Lepisosteus oculatus: one gene and its partners. The protein of the gene in region 1 purifies or fractionates together with the protein of each later gene. This does not show direct contact. Links are inferred from orthologs where the notes say so. Each region holds a gene or a part of one and is shown on either strand. Other genes may lie near its edges.

Evidence for each region. Proteins that work in one complex are often made in the same cells at the same time.
Region 2: the proteins of dcp1a (region 1) and upf1 purify together in Homo sapiens (co-immunoprecipitation; 4 studies listed by BioGRID and IntAct, with this or other methods). This does not show direct contact. The link is inferred for Lepisosteus oculatus from reciprocal best matches to the Homo sapiens genes DCP1A and UPF1.
Region 3: the proteins of dcp1a (region 1) and pnrc1 purify together in Homo sapiens (affinity purification with mass spectrometry; 3 studies listed by BioGRID and IntAct, with this or other methods). This does not show direct contact. The link is inferred for Lepisosteus oculatus from reciprocal best matches to the Homo sapiens genes DCP1A and PNRC1.

The regions. Positions count from the first base shown.
Region 1 is NC_090699.1:63,508,415-63,515,494, forward strand, and holds the start of dcp1a (mRNA-decapping enzyme 1A), read right to left. Parts: upstream 3,080-7,080; 5' UTR 2,892-3,079; coding exon 2,757-2,891; intron 2,394-2,756; coding exon 2,353-2,393; intron 1,269-2,352; coding exon 1,141-1,268; intron 1-1,140. UniProt on the Homo sapiens protein: Necessary for the degradation of mRNAs, both in normal mRNA turnover and in nonsense-mediated mRNA decay. Removes the 7-methyl guanine cap structure from mRNA molecules, yielding a 5'-phosphorylated mRNA fragment and 7m-GDP.
Region 2 is NC_090724.1:3,883,899-3,891,399, reverse strand, and holds the start of upf1 (regulator of nonsense transcripts 1), read right to left. Parts: upstream 3,074-7,501; 5' UTR 2,824-3,073; coding exon 2,653-2,823; intron 1,135-2,652; coding exon 992-1,134; intron 615-991; coding exon 525-614; intron 70-524; coding exon 1-69. UniProt on the Homo sapiens protein: RNA-dependent helicase required for nonsense-mediated decay (NMD) of aberrant mRNAs containing premature stop codons and modulates the expression level of normal mRNAs.
Region 3 is NC_090697.1:8,017,662-8,024,715, forward strand, and holds the start of pnrc1 (proline-rich nuclear receptor coactivator 1), read right to left. Parts: upstream 3,074-7,054; 5' UTR 2,314-3,073; coding exon 1,903-2,313; intron 647-1,902; coding exon 173-646; 3' UTR 1-172. UniProt on the Homo sapiens protein: Nuclear receptor coactivator. May play a role in signal transduction.

The DNA.
Region 1 (7,080 bases):
TACAGTCAAACATCTTCACAGTACAAATCAAATAAACGTGAAAAATACAATTTCACACATAAACCACAGCAAAAAGACAAGTTTTGTGCTGGATGGCATCTTCTTCATGTGCACCCTATTCATAACTTCAAATATGGACCTGCATGTTCACTATCAAACTCCTGGCTTCAAAATAGAACCGAACTCAACACTGACCAGGCCATCCACAGCACATAACCAAGGCAATCAGATGATCCAAGGCTTCCTATTCGTCCCCACTCACTCATGTTAATGTTGAAAAGTGCACCAATCTCTCAGTGATTTATGAGAAAAGCACAATGATGAATTTTATGAGACCCTCCCACCCATTTTCTTCATCTGCTGCCTCCAGCTATACTTGTATTATCAATGCCCACGGTCTTCAGAATGAAAAGTTCAACAGTTATTCTAGTCCAGAACATACTTGAGGAAGAAGCAGTTTCTCCAGGAAAATGCAACTTGGCAGGCAGCAAAAACAGACCAAGGAGAGCACCCAACAGGCGAGTGATACACATCACCAGACGGGTGCTGCTCAAGTGAAGGATGCACATTTACAGAAACTACGGATTTCTGCTGTATTGTGCAGTTGGCCCCTGGAGACAACACTGCACTTCATTAAGACAGCTTGTGCTCAAGTGCTAAGGAAGTGAATCCACATTTCCCAGGGGCTAGCATTATCCTTAATAAGAGTGCTAATGTGTTCTAATGCACACTGTGGGGCGCTTTCTAACTTACTCATGGAGCCAACTTTGCAAATCATTTGGAAACTAAGTACCACGAACTACATGAAGAAGGCCGCTCATTCCAGCTAGCAATAAAGTTAATGACGGCAGCCTAAAAACTCTTTTTGATCAAATGCCACCAACGAGAATCCTGTGGCGCATCAGTGCTGTCTACAGCTAATTCACGTGAACGTCCATTTCAAATCCTTCCCTTTTCCCAAAAAGAAAGTCTTCTATACTACAAAAACTTCTCCAACAAATCTGTCTGCATTTTTTTTTCCCTTTTCAACTCACATTCTAGAAAGAGAAATTTGTGACTCTCTCTCTCTCCCCCAGGTCTCTCCACTGCTTCTTGACCTAGTATGAGATAAAGTTAGAAACAGCACAAGAGGGCACTTACAGTTTGAATTTCTGTACAGAAGAAATGGGTCCTGGAGCTGAAACTCTAGGTCTTTGTTAATGGGCTCCACAAGATTTTTCATGTTCAGCCGGTTCATTATCGTAAAGCCATGATATGGAGAAGCTGACCTACAATTAAAAAAAAATACCATTTTCAAATTCTGGAATAACACCTGTTAAAAACCTGGCAACTCACACAAACGAAAAATTCAATTTGGGAAAACTTGAGCTCAGCAACATTAAAACCAGTGCATTTATTCTGCATATAAAGAGCGCTAAGTGGAGTAAGTGTTCTACAGAAGTAACATTTTTAATAATTCAGAGTTAGTGGGCTGTACCTTCCATGTCTTGACTGAGTATATGATGCAAAGCCAACCGTTCACCGAGTTACATGTTGCATTCTGTTTTTGCAGTGAAAGATTGAGAGATTAAGATTTCTCAACAGTGTAAATTGATATTTTTTATCACACTGGCAGTCATTATGCCATAAGTGAATCTTAAAATCTGAAGGTTTGACTTGTAAATGTATACTTCTAAAAATGTTAAATAGTTCTAATACGACTTAAAATTGCCAAAATGTCTATCCAGTGCCAAGTGAATTGTGACCTATCTTTCAGATTTAATTTAAAACTGTGGTCTCTGACTCACTGGTCTACAGCACTGGTTACTGACACCTTCTTCTCTCCTATAGATTTTCAGTCTTAACAGTAGCTTCTGATAAAAACTAATTATTATACTGGAAAAGACAATATGGTTTACATCCATGATGGACACATTTTAAAACAGTGGCCTAACTGTAAATCCTAAGTGCTCTGGAATCTAAAGCAATGAATACAAAATACGTTACTCTGTTTCAATAAGTGTTCATACTAGCTGTTTCTTTCTGCAGATGGGAATATATTGTATTATGTGCTTCACAGCTCCTTCCAGAATTATTACTCTTTACACCTGAATTGTTAATTTTTCCATTACTTCCAAACCGCAAACTACTCTTGACTATTAAACTATGAACGAGACAGCTTTTTGATAAGATATTTTAATAAGATAGTTTGAGATTTTAAAAGATTCTTAATAAATTCATAAATATTGAGGCCTAATCTTGACCAAAACACGTGTACTGGTGACCAGAACCTTGATTGTTTTTTTTTTTTCTGGGATAGGGGAGGAGATCATAGATATAAGAGATACTCGTATCCGACTTCGAATACGTTACCTGGCGTACACAAATAAGGTACCCTCAATGTCGGTTTTCTCCTGGAATATAATACAAAAAGAAAACAATCTTAAAATCTTACTTCAAACTCCTTTTCACCTGTTGGTTCAGTCTAAATTAACATAAATTATGCAACGCCAATTTTAAGAATTCCATCTACAAACACCAGATGTACTAACAAGACTATCCGTATCAGCATTTAAGATACTCATTCACCTTTTTTTTAGATTCAGAATCTCTTTATTCGAAACCGTTCATTAAAAAAACATTTCCGCTGAAGGGAGAGATGTCAGTTTAATATAAAAGTTGGTTTCAATATGTGCTCCATACAGAAACTTCACTGAAACAAGCCTCAGACTCGCCGCTTTCTAAACTATATGTCGAAAAATTTTAATACACCTTACCCATTCGTTTGCTTTGGAGTTAAAGGTATAGAGTGCTACCTGCCCGGTTACATCGATGATTCTATTAATATAAGGGTCATTCTGTTTTAAAGCTGCCAGACTCATATCATGTCCTACTTTACTGATAGCCTCCATCTTGGATTCTAAATCCCCAGTACGAGCATCCTACGGAGGGATTTCTATGAACACTCCCTCCTCGTAGGGCAACAACAGACCTAGAAATAAACGTTCCTACTGTAACAAAGGGCTTTTTCGTTCCGCTTAGTTCACTTTCGAAGGGAAGGGGAAAAGATTATTAGGTCACTATTCAATCGTAAAAGCCGATTTAAGATTTTAGTACTGTTTTATTTTTCTTTCTCATCAGGCTAATCATGATATTTTAGGAACATTATAGAAACACACAGAGATGAGTATCCGACCGAGTAAAAATCGAAATCCTAATACCACTGAAAACACTCATTTCAACCAGAACTAAGCTAATCAACGTCACAAACTCCAAATAATTGCGGACTATACTCTTATGTATTTATTTATTTTCATTAAAAGAAGTTTATATATTTTACCGTTATCTAAATTGTTTAAAATTATTACATTTTGCTGTCTTCAATCTATAATGCTGGATTTATACACACACGTGTAAAATATAAAACCTGATGGTGGCCACAAACTAAATTTAATACAGACGTATGCAGAACATGCTTTTATCTGGTTCGAATGAAAGTGCCTCTAAATCCAATTACAGAGTACAGAAAAAACGCAAGAGGTCCCCGTTTACAAAAGCCTCAGTTTAAACCAGTCCCACGTTGTACATTTTTAATAAGATTATTTGTCTATTAGCCTATCGAGGCTTGTAAGGCGGAGTTAGCGTTGATACTATCCTGTTTTGTGAATGGTAGAAGGCGGGGCTGGCTTTTTTTGCTTGCTACTCTACAAAGTGTGCGTCTTTGAGGTTTAAAATAGACACAGACCAGATTTCTCAACCTTAAATTGCCAATCATGACTCCCCTTTCCAGACTGTAATGGCACCGGTTAAATTGGTTTAATCTGTTCAAGACAGTTCTTAGAATCCCCACATACCTAGGGCATTCTCCCTTGGAGCAGTGCTGCACATACAGCATTAAAATAAACTGTGTGACATCCAAACAATCAGAAGAGGGAAAAAAATCTGACAACACTAAACATAAAATGAGTAAAATAGCCAATTAAACAGAAGTGAGAACAAATGTTCTATCTGGCCGAAGGCTGAAATAGGTCAGTTGCGACACTCCTTGCTTCCCTCAAGAACATTAGAAGGATTAATAATTCAAGGATTATCTCTGAGAAACAATTATCTGCTGCAGACAGGTAATCCAATATCCTGAAACCTTCCACCCAGCAGTGCCATTTCACTTTGTGGTTACACTACGAAATGCGTGACAAACGTATAGCTGAAGTTGTGCGGATGTCCCAAAACGAGAGAAGATGAATGGCTTTATTTGTCGAGCTTCCAAGTCGGTGAGGTAAGGCTACGCTGGTTTTCTGGGGTTTAAATGGTATCGGACTGTAGAAAACAGATGCCACAGGAGCTGCATGTTGGGGAGACAGAAAGAAAAATGCGATAAGAGGTGGTTCTGCATGTTTGGCTTGACAGTAATGTTAAGTCAGCAATATGTCTGCTATTACTTTATTTCAAGTTTTTGTTATATCGCATTTGTATTGTCTGTGTTTAGAGTGTTAACTTGAAACAACATGAAAGAAGTCTGACTCATATTGGAAGTGGTGCTTACTAACTTTAATATAATATTTTAAAATTACTTGTGATACAGTGTATTCTCTGGGTAACATATAATTATGTATAAGTGAAATACTTGTCTAAAGGGAGAGAATTAGTATACTGGTAAGCAACAGATATGGTCACTTTATACTGTTTGTATGGTAGAAGCCACAGTATGACCATTTCCTTTTATCCATTTTTCTTTCGTTTTCTTTAAGTCATGTCCTATATGTGCTTCTGATATGTACAGGTACTTGTTGCCCTTTTCAATATTGAATCTAGAGTTCAGTTTTAAATTGTTTTCCAAAATAATATAATGTAAAATATGCATCATCTGGAATTGAAATATTCTGTTCCGATATTCCCTTAGTATCAGATAAAATATGAAAGACTATATATTCACACATTACATTGTTGCTAGGTTATAGAATTATGCTGAGATATCCTGTTTTATACTGTTAAGTTTAATGGTGTCTGTTTTCATTGATTAGAGGTCATAATAACAGAACAGTAGCAGAATCTGGGGTAATATTACATCTGATTTTAAAATAACGGTTTTGTATAGATTTTGTACATTTTCATATTTGTCATTATCACAGATTTAGTTTTAGTTTTATTGAGCTGTCGTGAAAAAATGTTTTGCTGGACATTTATACATCTTTATTCCAACATACATAATATAACTTGCCTTTAAATTGTAATTGACAATAAAATAATGTACCAGGACCTTTATATTATTGCTTAATATTTGGTTTTAAATGTGTAAGACACTTTTGAGCCAGACATAGTAACAAAGTAATTCTAGGCCTCTTTTACAGCAAGCTATGACACAGGACTATGATTACCAAAGTAAAAGCGCACTGCTGTAGTTAAATTACAGTCCTTGGCACTAAAAAATCAACATTAATGACTTCCTACTATTGAGGACAATTGGAGTACAGCATTAAATACCTTTGGTTTTGTTGTATGATTTCAGTTTTTGGAAGCTTTGCAAAAGGCTACTGTCATCGGGTTTTGGAATATTATTAAGAATGATAGAAATAAAAGCACAAATTCTGACCTATAATTAAGATGAAATGGGATTTTGTAACCAACCTCTAAATTTCAGAACTACTCTCATTCATTGTTTTTAACTTACCAGATTATAAATTAACCACATATTAGCAGCTGTTACGTCAGAAATAAGGGTACGGAAAATTTTCGAGAGACGCTCAAGGTTTGGTGTTCAGAGGTTGCTGGAAACAATACACCTACAGTAGAGTATTTCTGAATCTCAGGACTGAGCGCAGAAACAAATAAACTGAACAACCCAAAAGCAAACAAGCAATCAGATCGATTAAAGGCATCAGTGAATACTGGTGATGGAGAGCTCAACTGGAATGAAAACCAACGGAGTGGTTCCCCCAGGACGAGGGACAGGAACCACTGCTCTAGAATATTCCTGTTAACAACAGTAATATGATCATGCCATGTGAAATCAGATACAATGCTTTTATCCACAGTGTCACCCTAACAAGGATGCTCCCGGGGTAATACTGAATTTATCAAGCTAGGAGACAGAGAAATTAATACATATTTATAGAACATAAGAACAAGAAAGGTTACAAATGATAGATGGCTATTTGATCTGTCTTGCTTGTTTAGTTGATAGTAGCTAATTGAATTCATTCAGCTGTTTCTTGAGCTTCAACAGCTCGACTGAGTAGCTTGTTCCAAACTCCCATGCCTCCTATTCTAAGTTTTAAATGCATTTCCACTTAGTTTTCAGTTGTCCTCTACTGCAGTTCATATCGGAGTATTGATTCTGAAGAAGAGTGGACTTTGTCGATGGCCTTGGGAATTTTCAACCCTTCAGTTAAACTCCTCAGAGACCTTGTAGTCTTCTGCATTTAAGATGAAAGAGATTTGGGGGTTTTTAACCTGTGAGTCTAGGACTTTCCTTGGGCTGAATTAAGAGCAGCAATTGTTTTTTTATGAGGTATAATGATCAAAATTGTACACAATATTATTTACAATATTGTACGTCTCCTTCCTTCTCTATATTGTCTGGAAGATGAATTGGCAACTGAGAAACCAAATCAGGTGAATGGCCCCATTTTTCTTACTGTATGTTCTTGTACTGTATTTCCCATTTTATATTTATAGCTTATGTTTCTGTTACCTGTGTGTAACACTGCGTGCTTGTCTGCATTATATGTCGTCTGCCAGGAGTCTGACCATGAATTTATTTAATTATATGTCTCTAGCTGTAAATGGATTTACAGTGTTTCTTAAAAAAGGATATTCTTAAACCTATAAGATATTAGTCTTATTGTATAGAGTACCAGCATTACATTATCCAAAATTATATTCTACAAAAAGCACCGCGCGGGACATGTATTTTTAAGTTAACAAACTAGCCTCTGAGGGACTTAAACCACATTAGTTTCTTTTATATACTATATAGTAGCCTAAATTGATTTATACGAGTTTTCGGTCTTGTCCAAAATTCTGACATTCTGTATCATAAAAAGACTAAAGCAAAACATTGAACGTCACTCAAACTGAGCATTCACGGACATACCTGCAACA
Region 2 (7,501 bases), on another chromosome or scaffold:
CCAAGAGGACCATCCTTATGGAGAGTCACTTCTTTACATTTCGCCCTGACAAGGTGGTTCACAATGTGGCTGAAAAAGAAAAGATGCACAGCAGCTGTTACTGAAACAACTGTACTTCAGGAAACTGCTACACAAACCAATAGAATAAGAGATTCAAAATGCAAGCTTAATATCTTTCTTTCAAAAAGAAGAGAATCTGACTTGGTAGTGTAATTGAACACTGTTACATTTAATCTTCTTATAATCCTGTTCTCACCATAATTGATGAGTATTTTTGAGTAAAACAATCTACAAGAATCAGCTGTTATACACAATTAAATGAACATCTTCATTTCAGCTACCATAAAACATGTATATTGTGTTATATCAAAAGAATAAAACTTTCTTCAGCAATTTACAACAATAGTCCAACTTTATCCTTCACATTAAAATATTACTAGGTTAAAATGTAACATGAAAAGGGAATCTGAAACAGGAATAATGCTGTTTTTCTGTACTACTTCATTTCTAACTGTTGCACACACCTGCCAGAGGTATTCCCACGTCCATTACAGAACCATTTCTTACTGGTGTTGCAGTAGACCACACATGCTGGATCATGAATTCCACAGTAGCTTGAAAATAGAAATTAACAAGATAAGCACATTTTGTTTTCTCACCTACTGCAACATGCGCTGTCAAAACACACCAAGTAGCAACAAAACAAACATAGCAGTAGGAGGTATTGAAGAAAAACGGTACTAGAGGCTCTCAAACTCTCTCATCCCCGAGGGGAAATAAGTGTTGCATTACAATTCAACACAATCACCCAACATAACCACCATCCCCAACAAGAAGTCAAAAGAAACAGTATTTTAGAAAACATGCATATTTAACATTTTTCAAAAATAATGAAACGAAGATATTCAAATAAAAAACAAACAACTGCACAGACACCAGTAGGCATTAACCGCAAAGCATGCCCAGTCCAAATCCCCCTGGTGTCCTGTACCTGCAGGCGTGGGCTGGGAGGTCCTTGGTGTAATAGGTGTCCTCTTCATCTTCCTCAAAGTTCAGTTCAGCAAGCAGCTGGCTGGTTTTTGCTACAGCATCATCCACAGCTCCATTCTGCAAAACTCCATCAGGGCCATTCACCTATAAGACATACAAGTTGGAGAACAGCGTTTCTTGCAATCTGACTTTAAAAATGGACAATAAAGACGACACTTTGGGAAAAGCAGTACAGACTACGAAATGAAAAAGAATTATAAGGCTTTCAGGTGACCAACCCTAACCTAACCAGAAATCATACATAAAGTAAAATACTCCTTTAGTACTGTTTTCTCACATTTTATAAATATATTACAAGTTCACTCCCAATCCCCTTAACATCACTAGTCCAATCAATAAAATACAGTGCAATAAATTAAACACTGCATTCAATACGTTGCAAAAAGGGAATTTTAGAAGAAAAAAATATAGGATGTACGGTCCTCCCAATCTGAGATCAGTTAATAAAATCTGTTCCCAAGATCAATTCTGACAAGTAAGGCACCATGTGAAACAAGGAAAACAAGAAAGTTTAATAACAAAGCGGGCGAATCTGCCCCAGCAAATACTTCAGTTTTTAGCAGCTTTTTATCCCGATTAATTGGTGTTCTTTAACGGCTGCCAACCCAACAAACCAGATTCAAATTGCCGAAAAGCCCAAGTTCAAACAGCTTAACTCTGTCAGTCATAGCTGCTGGGAATTCACTTTCAGGTCAATTCAACAGGAAATAAAAGGGACATCACAACCTTCACAGAAATAAAAAGGGCGCGATCGCACACAACACGACACAAACCTGTCCGCTAATATCGGATATTAATCGCTTGCTGGGGGGGGAGAAAACTGTAGAAATGACAGGCCGTGAAGTGCAGCACCATTTTATCCCTTAGCGTAACCTCCTCCCAAACTATCAGTTTCACATCAACCCGTCACGGCAAGTTTCAGTGACACGTTTTTGGTGCAAAAAGGGCGAACTTTAAAAAAAAAACTACTAAGAACTTCGCCACGCTGGCCGGGTGAAGGCAAGGTGGCGATTTCTCCCAACAAATGCTGAGCGATTTCACGCCGACGAAAACCCCTCTTTTCCGGGTTGGTCTCCCTTAGACTACACGGCATTGATACAAAAAAGACAGACCCGACACACGCAACTTTTCGGCGTGAAGGTCCATTTCTTTGAATTTACTGCGCGCTACGTCAGTTCGGGCTCAATTTTCCTCGTAAAAATGTTGCCGGGCTGCGGTAGGAATAGTTTCAGCGATGCTGCCGGCTGACACGAGTACCTAGGGCAGAGGAATTTCACTCGCCGAGGACACGAAGCAGGTAAAGACTACGGGCCCGACCCAAACTCTCGCCAAATCCGCGTTTTTCGTGCTCCGACGGGAAGGTGGCAGCTCACCGGTTTCTCCCCCATCGGAAAAAAAAGGAGACCTCCAGCGAGCGAACCGAGAGCCCGCGGCTACGGAACGGCTCCTCGACGCCGGCTACTCAAGTCAGGAAACGTCCCCGGACTCTGCAAGTAACGCGGGCCTACTTCACTTTTACCTCAGCTGGGTAGCTTTGTAACAGCACGCCGGAGGTCTGCTCGGCGAAAATGTGAGCTGTAATGGTGTGACGGGCACACGAACCTGGTTGTCCAGCTGACTCTGGGTCTGTCCTTGCGTTTGGGTCTGGCTGGGCAGCGTGAAGTCGGTAAACTCGAACTCCGAGCCCTGGGTATCGGCTCCCAGCAGCTCGGCTTCCTCCGTGTCCAGGAAGGTTAGAGTCTGTGAGCTCGGCCCGTACGCCTCCACGCTCATTTCTCCTCAGAGCACCGGCGGATTTACAAGGAGGTGGGGAAAGAAAAAACCGCAGGAAAGTCCGGCCCCGGCGAGTTTTATTTCTCTGTTTTTCTCCAGTACTCAACGCGTGTCGTCCCGGCGGCGCGCTGGCTTTGAAAGTAAACGGAAATCGAACCGAACCAGAAAATTAAACAGTAACACACACAGCTCGAGAGAGCTCCCAACTCCCACACCAACCCGTGACGAAATACCCAACTACACAGAGAAGCGCAACGTCATGCGCACAAAGCTGCACCAAGACCGATGACGTCTGCAGTACTGTGGTGTGTGTGTGTCAAGGGGCGCTATCCTTAAACGTGATGTAAACTTTGGAAATGTCGTATTTTTCAAGTTATACACAACCGTCGAAGCCTTTTTTTATTTTGATTTATTTTGATCTTGAAATGTAAGGAAAACACCGAAGGAAAATACCGAACTTGAGACTTTAGCTGACCGTATAGCTGCAATGGGACTATACTTTTACTGGAAAACCGTCTTATGGCTCTTTGCTCAATCACAAGCAGTGGTTTCACAGACCTCTAATACCACTAATCTTGGACTACCTAATATTGTTTCAGGTAAACATGTCTCGGAGTATTACTAAACTGTGCTACTCCGTGTGGAGCGTTAAAAGGGAGATTTCGTATTAAAGATATCCTGTCTAAAGGCAATATAAATGCAAAGACTGGTCTTTTTTCGTTAATGTGGCATACACTGTGTACGATCACGTCATCCATTGCTCATAAATTTAAGGGGTTATATGGACGTTCATACCCTTGAACAAAACTACCGAATTTGTGATAAACGATTTAATAGACTCGGTTGTTGCAAGACAGTGCAACACGATACGGTACGTCCAATAATTGTGCTGAGCATTAAATCAGATTTAACAATTTTATTGCATTAAAAAACGCAGTATTTAATGACTGGGTTCCACCAACAGTATTTGAGCGCCAGCACGAGGTTGGCTCTGCTATCGGATCATCAAACACCACTTTCAGACGGTACAGCACTGTCTGAATATCTTCCCAGAAACGAGTTTTGTTATTTTCACTTTTCTTCAGTTAATGTACAACGTACTTACAGTACACTCTACAATTGTAATTATATTTCTATGGCTTTTCTTGTGATTGTAATAAAGTCTGATCGTTAAATTAGTTTGTACCACTCAGAAAACTCCATTTTTGACCAGTTCATTGGCTGCTTGGAAAGCAAACCGCCCTGCGTTAAAGCACCAGCTCAACAAAGTAATCGAATCTAGGTCTAATAATAACTTTAGGTAGAATGTTTGGAAATAACTTGCTATTTAATGCAAAAAAACAGTGGTCGCTTAGCAACTACGTTCGTCGACGCAGGTTTAGAGAACGTCTCATTATTAAAATAGAAATTTTGTTTTTCATGGAAACACCTAGAAACAGTCTTTACAGCTAGCTGCACATACAGCAATGGTCTCAGATGCATTTTCCACATTTGCTAAATGTGCTCATTTCACAGTCCTGTGGCCTATAGCTGTAACTCCACACGTTTCCCGCAAACTTAACTAATAGGCCATCACTGGATTTCACCTTTGTTGGGATTTTCTTTTTGAGTTCCAGGAAAGTGCAAGAAGGAAATAGCCGCGAGCATGGGGAGAAAGAGACGTTGACAGAGCACTTACATAGAGCAGCAGCACGCTGATTGGAGCATACAAGTCAAATAAACTATTTTTATATAGACACTTTTAAAAGTGTCTCGTCCACAAGTTCTTCACAGAACCAACAACAAAACAATACAGTTGGAGAGGAGATAGTGGAAGGGGGGATGGAATACAGTAGGAAAGCAAGGGGGCAGACACCAGTTAAGTCAAAACCCTTTTTAAAAAGAAGGGCTTGAGTCTAGATGTAAAAGACCCCCAAGCAAGGTGACTCTGATATCCTTAGGGATGGAGTTCCAGAGCTCTGGGGCGGAGCAGGAGAAGGCCCCGTCACCCATAGAGTGTAGACAGGCCTGGGGGACAGACAGGAGAGCCGAGTTAGACAAGTGAAGTCTGCAGGACAAGAGTAGCTATGAGGAAGGTAACTCCTTCATGGGGATGTGGAAAATCTTCGTCTGTATTCGCCGCAGCTGCCGTAGATGTGGTTGATCTGGCTCACACCCCCAGGGTCTCTCGGAGAGATGACTGCCTCCGCACAACAGCCACAGAACACAAGCTTCCTGAGGCTTACATAACTTGTTTACCCAAACTCCTGCTAAAGCATGGTTTTGTAATGTAGATAAATCAACAAGGTTGTAATCTTCCAGCTTCTCTACCCAGACCTCTGACCTTCTGCGGCCAATGGTTTTACACCCAAGAACGCTCGCTCCTACGGCCTGGGTCTTTGTCTTTCATTCTTTCTCTGGCAAATCATAGGTTTGTGCCACATCATTCAATTTAACTCTCCAGCTCACACACCGATCTTTTTATAGATCGGTGCTCACCAACATGCCGTCGCGGGTCTCCGTACAGATTCAAAGGTTTTTTGGTGACCTGTTCCACCTTTGTAACTCAGAGCTGTTAGGTCCACTTTGCTGGATTTTAACAAGGACCACAAGAACACCCAACCTTATTTTATAGTGCTGTAGGTGGTCAGATTCACATCCCGTTTCCTTGTCTACCAATCGCTATCACAGATGTTTGAGACTGGAAGAGCTTGTCCTTTAGACCTGAAACTGAGGTCCTGACTATTGAGTCATGAAAACATCCCATGCCACTGTTTGCAAGTAGATGTTTAAACTAATGTACTAAATTCTATTGTCATCTCTAAATTGTGCTTAGTGGATTCAACTTTCCATGTCTACCTGATCTAATGTGCAGTGGGGCTGCTGGTGCAGAATAGGTACCACGTCACCCAAGTGTGTGCTTGATTAGGTCGTGTCCCCCAGTATGAAAGCAATGCATTTTATATGTCCAATTTGTAGCTTCCATCCTGCATTTGATTAAAACTTTTGGTGTAAACACTTTCTCAGCAGTCAGTCCCAAGGGATTATTGTATTTATTAAGGATTTGAACTTCTAGGTGACTGCTAATGTGGCTGTGATTTATACATAAATTGTCTTACAAGTACAATATATTTTGAAAGTGTCAAGAGACTTGGCAATTGTAAATACTATAATGAATTAAATGTAACGTCCCTTAGATTTACCCAGTTTTATGGTTGACAGGGTTACATTTTTCAGAAACAGTGGGGGTAACATACTGAAGCAGGTTTGGAACAGCACAAGACAAAGCAAAGAGACTGGAGAATAAAGAGTTTATTAATTTTTCTTCACTACAGGGGCCCAACATGCCCAGTTTTGTCATATTTTCTATTTTGATGTCACTTACAAAGACAAGATTCGGCTTAAAAGTCCGATACCAAATAATGGGAAAAATATACTTCCTTACAGTGGAATTGGATATAAATCTAGATGCCACATTAAAATATAGAGCACACAAAAAAAATCATTTCAAAGAAGGGAGCATTATGACAGAGGTAGGTACAGTATATACTGGAAAGAGCTTTTAATTGGGCCTGATGTTGAGGACACTCAGATTTTGACTAAGGTAACACTGGTGTTAAGTAGCATGGACAGCCCTTTCCAACACCCCAGATTATGTTTTGGTTTAAAAAGGCACTGTTAACAAGAGACATCCTTTACTGATGCATGCTTAATTGACACTCGGGGTCCCATGACACCAAGTTCTTCATCACGTAAAGTAGGCATTTTTTCTTTACACCCAAGGCAGTTTAACTATTTGTCTTTTTACACCATCCTGTAGGAAGAGGCAACTCTCACCACAGAACACACAGGCAGTGACAACCTTCCTTCCACAACCACACCCCCCTCCTCCAGTCACTCCCTCATTCTCTGATCAACATGGTTCTCCTTTACAAACCCACTACTCTTTCTGCATCATCTGCAATTCTAGAAACTGCTTCTGCTAGGCTCTTTTTAAGATCTTGGTAATTACACAGTGGCAGAAATGGAGTTTGCGGTCAAGGATGAACGGAAAAAGAAAAAAGGAAAATTTTCACCATGGGACAGTTCGTCTCACAAGTGACTTGTTTCCATCCGAATAAAATAAGTCATTACCGTAATGCACTGCTAATACAGATCCAGTTCTACAAATACTAAACCATCTTCAAGAGCAAAGAGCAGGTGTACAGGTCACAAGATTTCATTTGGCTGAATTTCCTTGTTTATTGATGAGAAGCTAAAAGTAGGGATCGGGTGTGTGACAGGCATGGTTTCTGCATGCAATCAAGAGCCAATCAAAATGAACTTTAATTTAAAATGAAGTGACAATACCTATCACAGACCAGTGGTCTTAATCCTGATTGATGCCAGTCACCCCAAATCCACATTTTCTTTAGACAATACTATTGCCGAAATGTAGAGCTGCTATAATGGACTAATTTATAAGTGACGCACAGTGCATAAAGCTTGTATTCATACAATCCGGAATTCAAAATGTCTGTAAACTGCGGCAGCAGTTCATTTTGATGGCCACGTTTGTATCCAAGGAAGAAATAGTGTCTTGCAAGCTTGGATTTTCATGATTGCAATCCTGCTCAGAAAAGGTGGACAGGCTTTCAAAAGAACATTGATGGAAACAATATCAAATATACAAAATCCAGCTGACCGATTAATGATTTGA
Region 3 (7,054 bases), on another chromosome or scaffold:
TAAACTGTACAAGGCCGCTGTTCTGCACAAGTATAAAATCTAAAACAGCCCAAAACTTCGGGACTTCCTGTTGCAACGATTTCCTATTCCAGTGCTCCTCCGAGTCGTGTTTTCAGTGCCGATTCCCAGAGGGGTACGACGTTTTTTTTTTCTTCTGCTTCCGAATCTCCAGTCACGGCTCCGCCTGGACCTTCAGCAGAGTCTTCAGGTGAACGGTCATGAGCTCCCGGCTGGGGCCGCTGGCCCGGGGGCCCCTCTCCCCCACCCAATGGCTCGGGGGCTTGGGGAGCACGCTGGGGGAGGGCGGCTCGCTGAACTTGGCGCCGGCGTAGTTCTTCTCGCCATCCCTGAGGGGCTCTTCGGGGCCGGGCTCGGCCGCGCGGACTGCGGCCAGCTTGTGGAAAACGTCACCCGAGTGTAGCGGTTTCTTCCCCTCGCCGCCGCACAGCTCCAGAGGAGGAGACCTGAGGCGGGGGCCGTTCTCCTGCCCCCTCGCTGGGGAGACCTCGCCGAGCGTGCTGGGCCTGGCCCTCTGGCTGCTGCCATTCAGAGGCTGGGCTGGCTGCTCACATTTGTTCAGGTTGTACACAGAGTGGCCGCTGGTAAAGGGGGCTCTGTCGGCTCTTCCTGTTTTTGACTTCAATACCTAAGGGGAATAAATAAGAATAAATGCGCCTTTAGATCGCAACAACTTAAACCCGCGTTTAAGGACGGCTCCTTAGAAAAATGTTTCTCCCATCTCGCAGTACATCGGAGAAACGACCTCGCTGTTTGAACTCTTTGTGTTGTCACTTTCAGTGTCGGTTAAAGAGGTTTTGATGTTCCAGAGAGACAAGACTTTATTGATCCCGAAGGGAAATCGAGGCGTTACAGCAGGCCCAGCCCAAGACAAGCAAAAACAAGACATCAGAATAGACGGAAAATTAAAATACGTACAGTAATACACAATAAATATATAAGTGTTTGCAAAATATGCTCACTGTAAAACAAAACGTGCATAGGTATATTCAGATTGAGTGTCGAAAAAGCACAATAGTGCAACATGCTTTCCATGTTATCCGATACTTCAATCACAAACTACAAAGGAATCTGCGTTTTTTGTTTACAGTAGTGATTCTAGACGTTATGTAATTTCTACAATAGGTAACCGAAGAACATTCAGGGGTAATTTCCAACTTCATCCCGCTGCTGGGCAGGTCAAGCTTATATCGCAAGAAAAATAAATCCAGTAATGACGTTTAAACAACAAGGCGGTTATTAGGCTATGTCATCCGGTTTCGGGGTTATTATTATTACATAATAACCCGACCGCCTTGGCACAGCGCCATCAGAAAACTGTTGAGGATCCTTCATCAACCTCGGCTCAAACTGCACGTTCGCACCTGGCACAACCTAACCCACTACCGCCCGCCCCCGCAGGCTCGCGGCTCCTCATTACTTATTCATATTGCCGAGGACCGCCGCGCTGATTGGCTGATCTGAGAACCGCCGTCATATTTTCCAGCGGTGGGTCAACCAAACTCGTTTGATTTCCGCCGAATTGGAACAGCGGTAGCGGGCAGCTAACCCAGCGCACCACATAATGGGCAATGTATACAAAACAAACGCTGGGGACCCACAGCCCTTAATGAAGTGTCGTCACCTCAACGACCACAATATTTACGCATGGATGCGTTACTAAACTATTCTAAACAAATAAAACGTGAAATGTTCACTTCCGTTATTGGTATACATCAAGCGAATTACATCAGGTAGCAAAACAAGCTGTTGCCCCCCACCACCTTTGACACCGATGACACGGTTCCTGGGACCCTCTACAACAGTAATATCGCCACCCGTTGTTCTCGTCTTTATCACGCACCCGGTGATGTTTCACAAACGAGAACTATATCGACATCTTACCTCCTTTTTGGCCCCTTGCTTGAGGTGGTGGAGTGTAATTGCAGTAGCAGCCTGCGCTCGGTTGGCGACAGCCTCAGTCTTTTTGATGCCAGCCCCGGGGCTGCTGCTGCTGTTGTTGTTGATGTCTGTGAAGCGTGTGGTGCCATTTCGGAGCAGAGCCGGGTGTTTCTGGCCCTGCTGCTGCTGCTGGTGGTGGTGGTGGTGAAGGAGGTGGTAATGGTGTCGGTTCTGCAAGCCCGTGGAGGCTGAGCGCACTCGCCTCCCCCCTTTCTTCAGCAGCGCCTGCCTTTTGTTCAGGTTCGACCCGACGGGGGTGGGCTTGCTGTTCTCGATGTTATCGAGTTTAGACTCGATGTGGTGGCTGAGAGTTTCCCCGAGCATGATCTGAAAGTCGCACGAAGGAGGATACATCGGCTACCTGGAGCGGCAAAAAAAAAAACTTTCCTTTCAAAACAGCTCCGACTCCTTGTCAATGAGCCCATATACTTGCTCCGCACGGCCGTTTCCTCACTCTTTGTTGAGTCCAACCTGCTCGCTTGCTAAACAAGTCAAGTAAAGCTGTACCTGGAGCCTCGGCCTTTGTTTATCTTCCGATTCCGAAAATCTTTTCTTTCCGAAAAAATTGTTTTTTCTCTTGCCAAAAAGTCCCCTTTAAAGAGATGGCGCAGGATACAGAGTAAACGAAAATGGCGGAGCAGGAAGATTCACTTCCTTATTGTAAACAAAAAATCCGAGAACACGCCAACGACTCCGCGCAAAGAGAAACAAGATTAAAAAGCAAACGAGTGCTACTTTCGCCGATCTACCCTTTTGCGTGGATTTTAACATCTGTATTCTGAAACCTGAAAACTTAATGCGCTACGTTTCGTAAACAACGTCAAGACCACGACGCAAATTTGAGTTAGATGTGTTAGGTCGAGCTGCTCGGTGTCGATCAAGACGCTGCCCTTTGTCTAAAATGTTCTCAGAAATTCAAACTTTATGCTTTTCAAGGCCGTCTCCCACTATGTTGCTTAATGATTTTACCAACACAAACCCCGTCCGCACCTCCTCTATAAAAGCAACACAATGCAGGCTAAAACAAACACGGGAACGCCTCGAAGGTATTAACTACAACTGCTACGCCAATCGCCCGTTTCTATTCCTGCCACTGGGACCTCCTTTTTAAGAGACGTCATATACGCAACATCTCAATCTCATTTGCTCGTTGTACCAGGGACTTTCCGAAACTGGGAGTTTTGAGGAAGTTATTAAAACTTCGACCGGTTGCCTTACGTAGTGGAAACTGCTTAATGATGCAATGTACAGTAATTCAGCGTGACGCGCTGCAAAGGAATTCACAGTGTAAAGTCGGTCTTTATATACAAGTATGTAATGCATATATGTTTAATATTTTTCATATATATATATTATCAGCGATGTGAAGCCCTGTAATCTGGTCATTTGTAACCGACTTAATTAAAATTAAATTAAAATTCTATGAAAACGTGGATTGTTTCTGATGACTGTTCTTTGGTAACGCTCTATAAAACATTTATAAATCTCATTTTCATAATATGAAATACTGTACAGAAAATATTTAGCTCATTTAGTGTTGTAGCTTAACACTTATTGTGCATATACAATTTCTCACTCGCTAATACAGGCTAAATTGTATTAGCGAAACAACAAGTTCAGTTGTTTAGTGAGCTACAAAAACTACGGACATCCCTACGTTTATACAGTATATATATGGTATTCCTTATCAACTTTATCAATTCCTTCTTATTTAGGTCAATTGTATTGGAAAGTTTTATATGATGTAATTTACAGACTTTTACAGGAATATTTCAAGAGAATATTCCTGTAAATACTACTGCTAGTGATGCTTCATATTCTACTCCTAATACTCATAACCAGGGTAAGTGGTACAGTATTTTACCCTAAAACCTTTTGATTTAAATATAGCTTACAAGAGCAGGACTTGGCCACTGTTTGAGATGTAACCGTGCTGTACTGTAACCCAAGGATTATTTGAGTGCTGACATAGTATATATAAATAATTACTGTAATTTAAATATTTTGGTATAATTAAAAGACAATCAGAGTAATTCAGTCAAATAATTATTTAACTGATGTTGTTAACGAAAGCAACTTCCATGTGTATCATTTTATACAGCTCGGCTTTCTACCATAGAAGTATGAGCGAACAGCAGTGCTCCATCGAAAATGTGAACCCATAGTCTTTCAACTCAATTACACAGATCCAACTACTACAAAGTGAATTTGATGAGAAAAAATATTCAAACAATCTACATTAAATAGCCATACAAATTCTAGAATAAAGGAATTATTACAACATAGAGAATGAAGAGTAGAAGTGAGAGTCATTCCTGGAATTTCTTTGTGCAGTCATGTTTCATGCAGGAAGAAAGAAAGTTGCACTTAACTGTGGGTATTTCCCAATGTGCACTTAAATTGATCAAAAACTGTCCATAATCCTCTACTGTGAATTCACTTCATCCTCATGGAAAAGGATTTTCCAATAACAAAATGAAACCAACAGCTCTTGAATTGTATTTGTAATGGGTTTTTTTTCCATTTCCCTTCCTGTTCACACTGAACAATTGAACAATAGATTCACAAACCAAATAATTGTGTACAACTCATAGAAAAAAACACTAATTGGATTAGCCAGGGCATGGGGCAAAAGAGTTCAGCTATTCAGTTTTAATGCTCACATGCTGCATTCAAAAAGAATGTCCTGCAAAATACTTTGCATCCTCTCGTGTTTGTGTCCTGCGAAATTATTCACTTATTTTCCAATGATGTCCTATTTTACTGAAATGCAAGCGATGCACGCACTATTTCAATCAAAACTTTTAATGGGTGAAAGAAATGAAATGTATACAAAAACTGAAAGGAAAAACTATAATGTTTTTGGTTTTCACCCCTTTGCTATGTCAAACAGAAATTAGTTCAGCTGTACAAAAAATACTTTAACACGTTATGAAATTAGTTGCTTGGCCCCTGTTTACAATAATCTCATTCAGCTGGTTTCAGAATAAATACGCTTCAAAGTATTCAATTTCTTTAAAGCAGATATGGGTAGAACAAGAACTAGTGTATTTCTAAGCTTTCAGAAGGCATTTGATAAAATTCTACAGAAAAATAATTCTCAAATTGCAAGTGGTGGATAATCAAATTAAAGTATCTTTGAATTGAGAATTGGTTAATGCATATAAAACAGAAAGCAAAGGTGTGTTTAAAACTGGGGAGTTGTAGGTGGTGGTATACCACACAGGAGCTATATGAAAACCACTACTCTTATTAATTTATATAAAAAAATCTAGATTGTGGTAAAGTAAGTTAAGTTCAGAAGTTATACTAGAGCTGGAAGATTAACACAAATTAAGACTAAGAAATCACATGGTGAAGCAGAGAATAAAATAAGGGGAACTTATTCAGTAATCAAAATACTAGGGACTATTTCCAACTCAACAACACAAACCAGAGCACTCAGATGGAGCTGTGCAAGGGAGTATATTTTACTGAGAACAGGAGGCATTTCTTCACACAAAGCGTTGACTGCCTATGGGTAGTGGACAGCAAATGCAAACAATGTAAACACACATAATAGGGCATTGTGTGGCACATATGGACCACAGCACAGAGTCTGCGGGTATTTGGAATTCTGCAGGAGGGATGTGGCAACTCATCTCAACTATCAGACAACTCATGCCTGGTTAATGGATGTAGAAAGCAAGCAGGTACTCCAGAGTATCTCATAAACACCTCAGTGGGTTCAGGGCTGGTAACTGAGAAGGCCAGTCCAGTATCCATATGGATAACTGTCATGCGCAAACCACCGGGTGACCACAGGAGCTCTGTGGAGAGGAGCTGCATCATCCAGGAACAACCCTGATGGCAGGAGAGAAATGGGTTGAAGATGGTCACTCAAACCCATTAAGAAGCTATGGGCATTGACCGAGTGAATGTGGAATGAGTCTGCCCAAATACCAACAAATGAACCCCGCAATCCCACAGAACCATCAGTACCCTTCACAGCTGGGATCAGGCACTCTCAGCAATAGAGTTCAAGTCAGCACTCATCCATTTACTGAGAAAGCAGTGAAAGATGAATCATCTGATCACATGCCTCCATGATTATGCAGTGCACTCTTTACACCAGTGGACTTGCAAACATGCACTGTCAGGTGCAACAAGCAGTTTGTGCATTGCAGCCCGATGATGTCCTGCTCTGTGGAGCCATCACCAGCCCGTTTAATTAAAGTTTGATCTCCAGTTGCTCGACTGTTTTGCCCTGAGCTTCAAACAAATGCACAGATTTCACAATCCTGGAGTAGGGCCCTCCCGTTCCACTGTTCCACCCAGCTTTCCCGCAGAAGTTCATGTCGACATCACCTCCAACACAGTTACTCATGAAACCTCAGGAAATTGAGCCATCTTGGTCCCTGAAGCTCTTACCAAACACGTCCCAAGAAGCACCCGCTCTCTCAAAGTCACTGAGATCTCCTCTTTCAGCCATGCTAGTTCTGACCTGTCCAGAACTTTTATTCTTGACCCTAAACATGCTGGAATGTCATTCGCTGGATTAATGCATGAGCCACACCTGTGTAGAAGCTTTCAATCTGCTTGATGTTTCTCCTTTACCCAGATGTTTCCATTTTTTGCCAGGTGCCTGCAGCCAAAGCTGAAGTCTCCTCAGCTGCCCAGTAGACACTACCCTACAGGGTTCCAAGTGCTAGAGCCCACACATTCTGTCAGCTAGCACACAGAGAATAGTTTCAGAACATCACCAGCAACAATCGGCATCAATTACACCACTACTGAATATCAGGCACGCTCTTATGCAAATAGACCTTTCAGTTCTATTTCGTCATCCTCTTGTAGGGTACTACTTCCCTGCTACAATATTAGCTAATGTCGTAAAGCAGTGTGAATCCCAATGCCTCTTCAAGTTTAATGTAAACCGCTTTATGGAGTATCTTCAAGATCTAACTGCCCTTCAAATTAGGTTTTTGGACGATCCAAAGTGTTGCGTTATGCAGTAGTATTTGGATGTATGAAAGACCACAATTTGTGTGGTACACTGTTTTTCAGACAAATACTATATTAATAGATGTACAGTATATTGTAGTCCTTTTAAAGT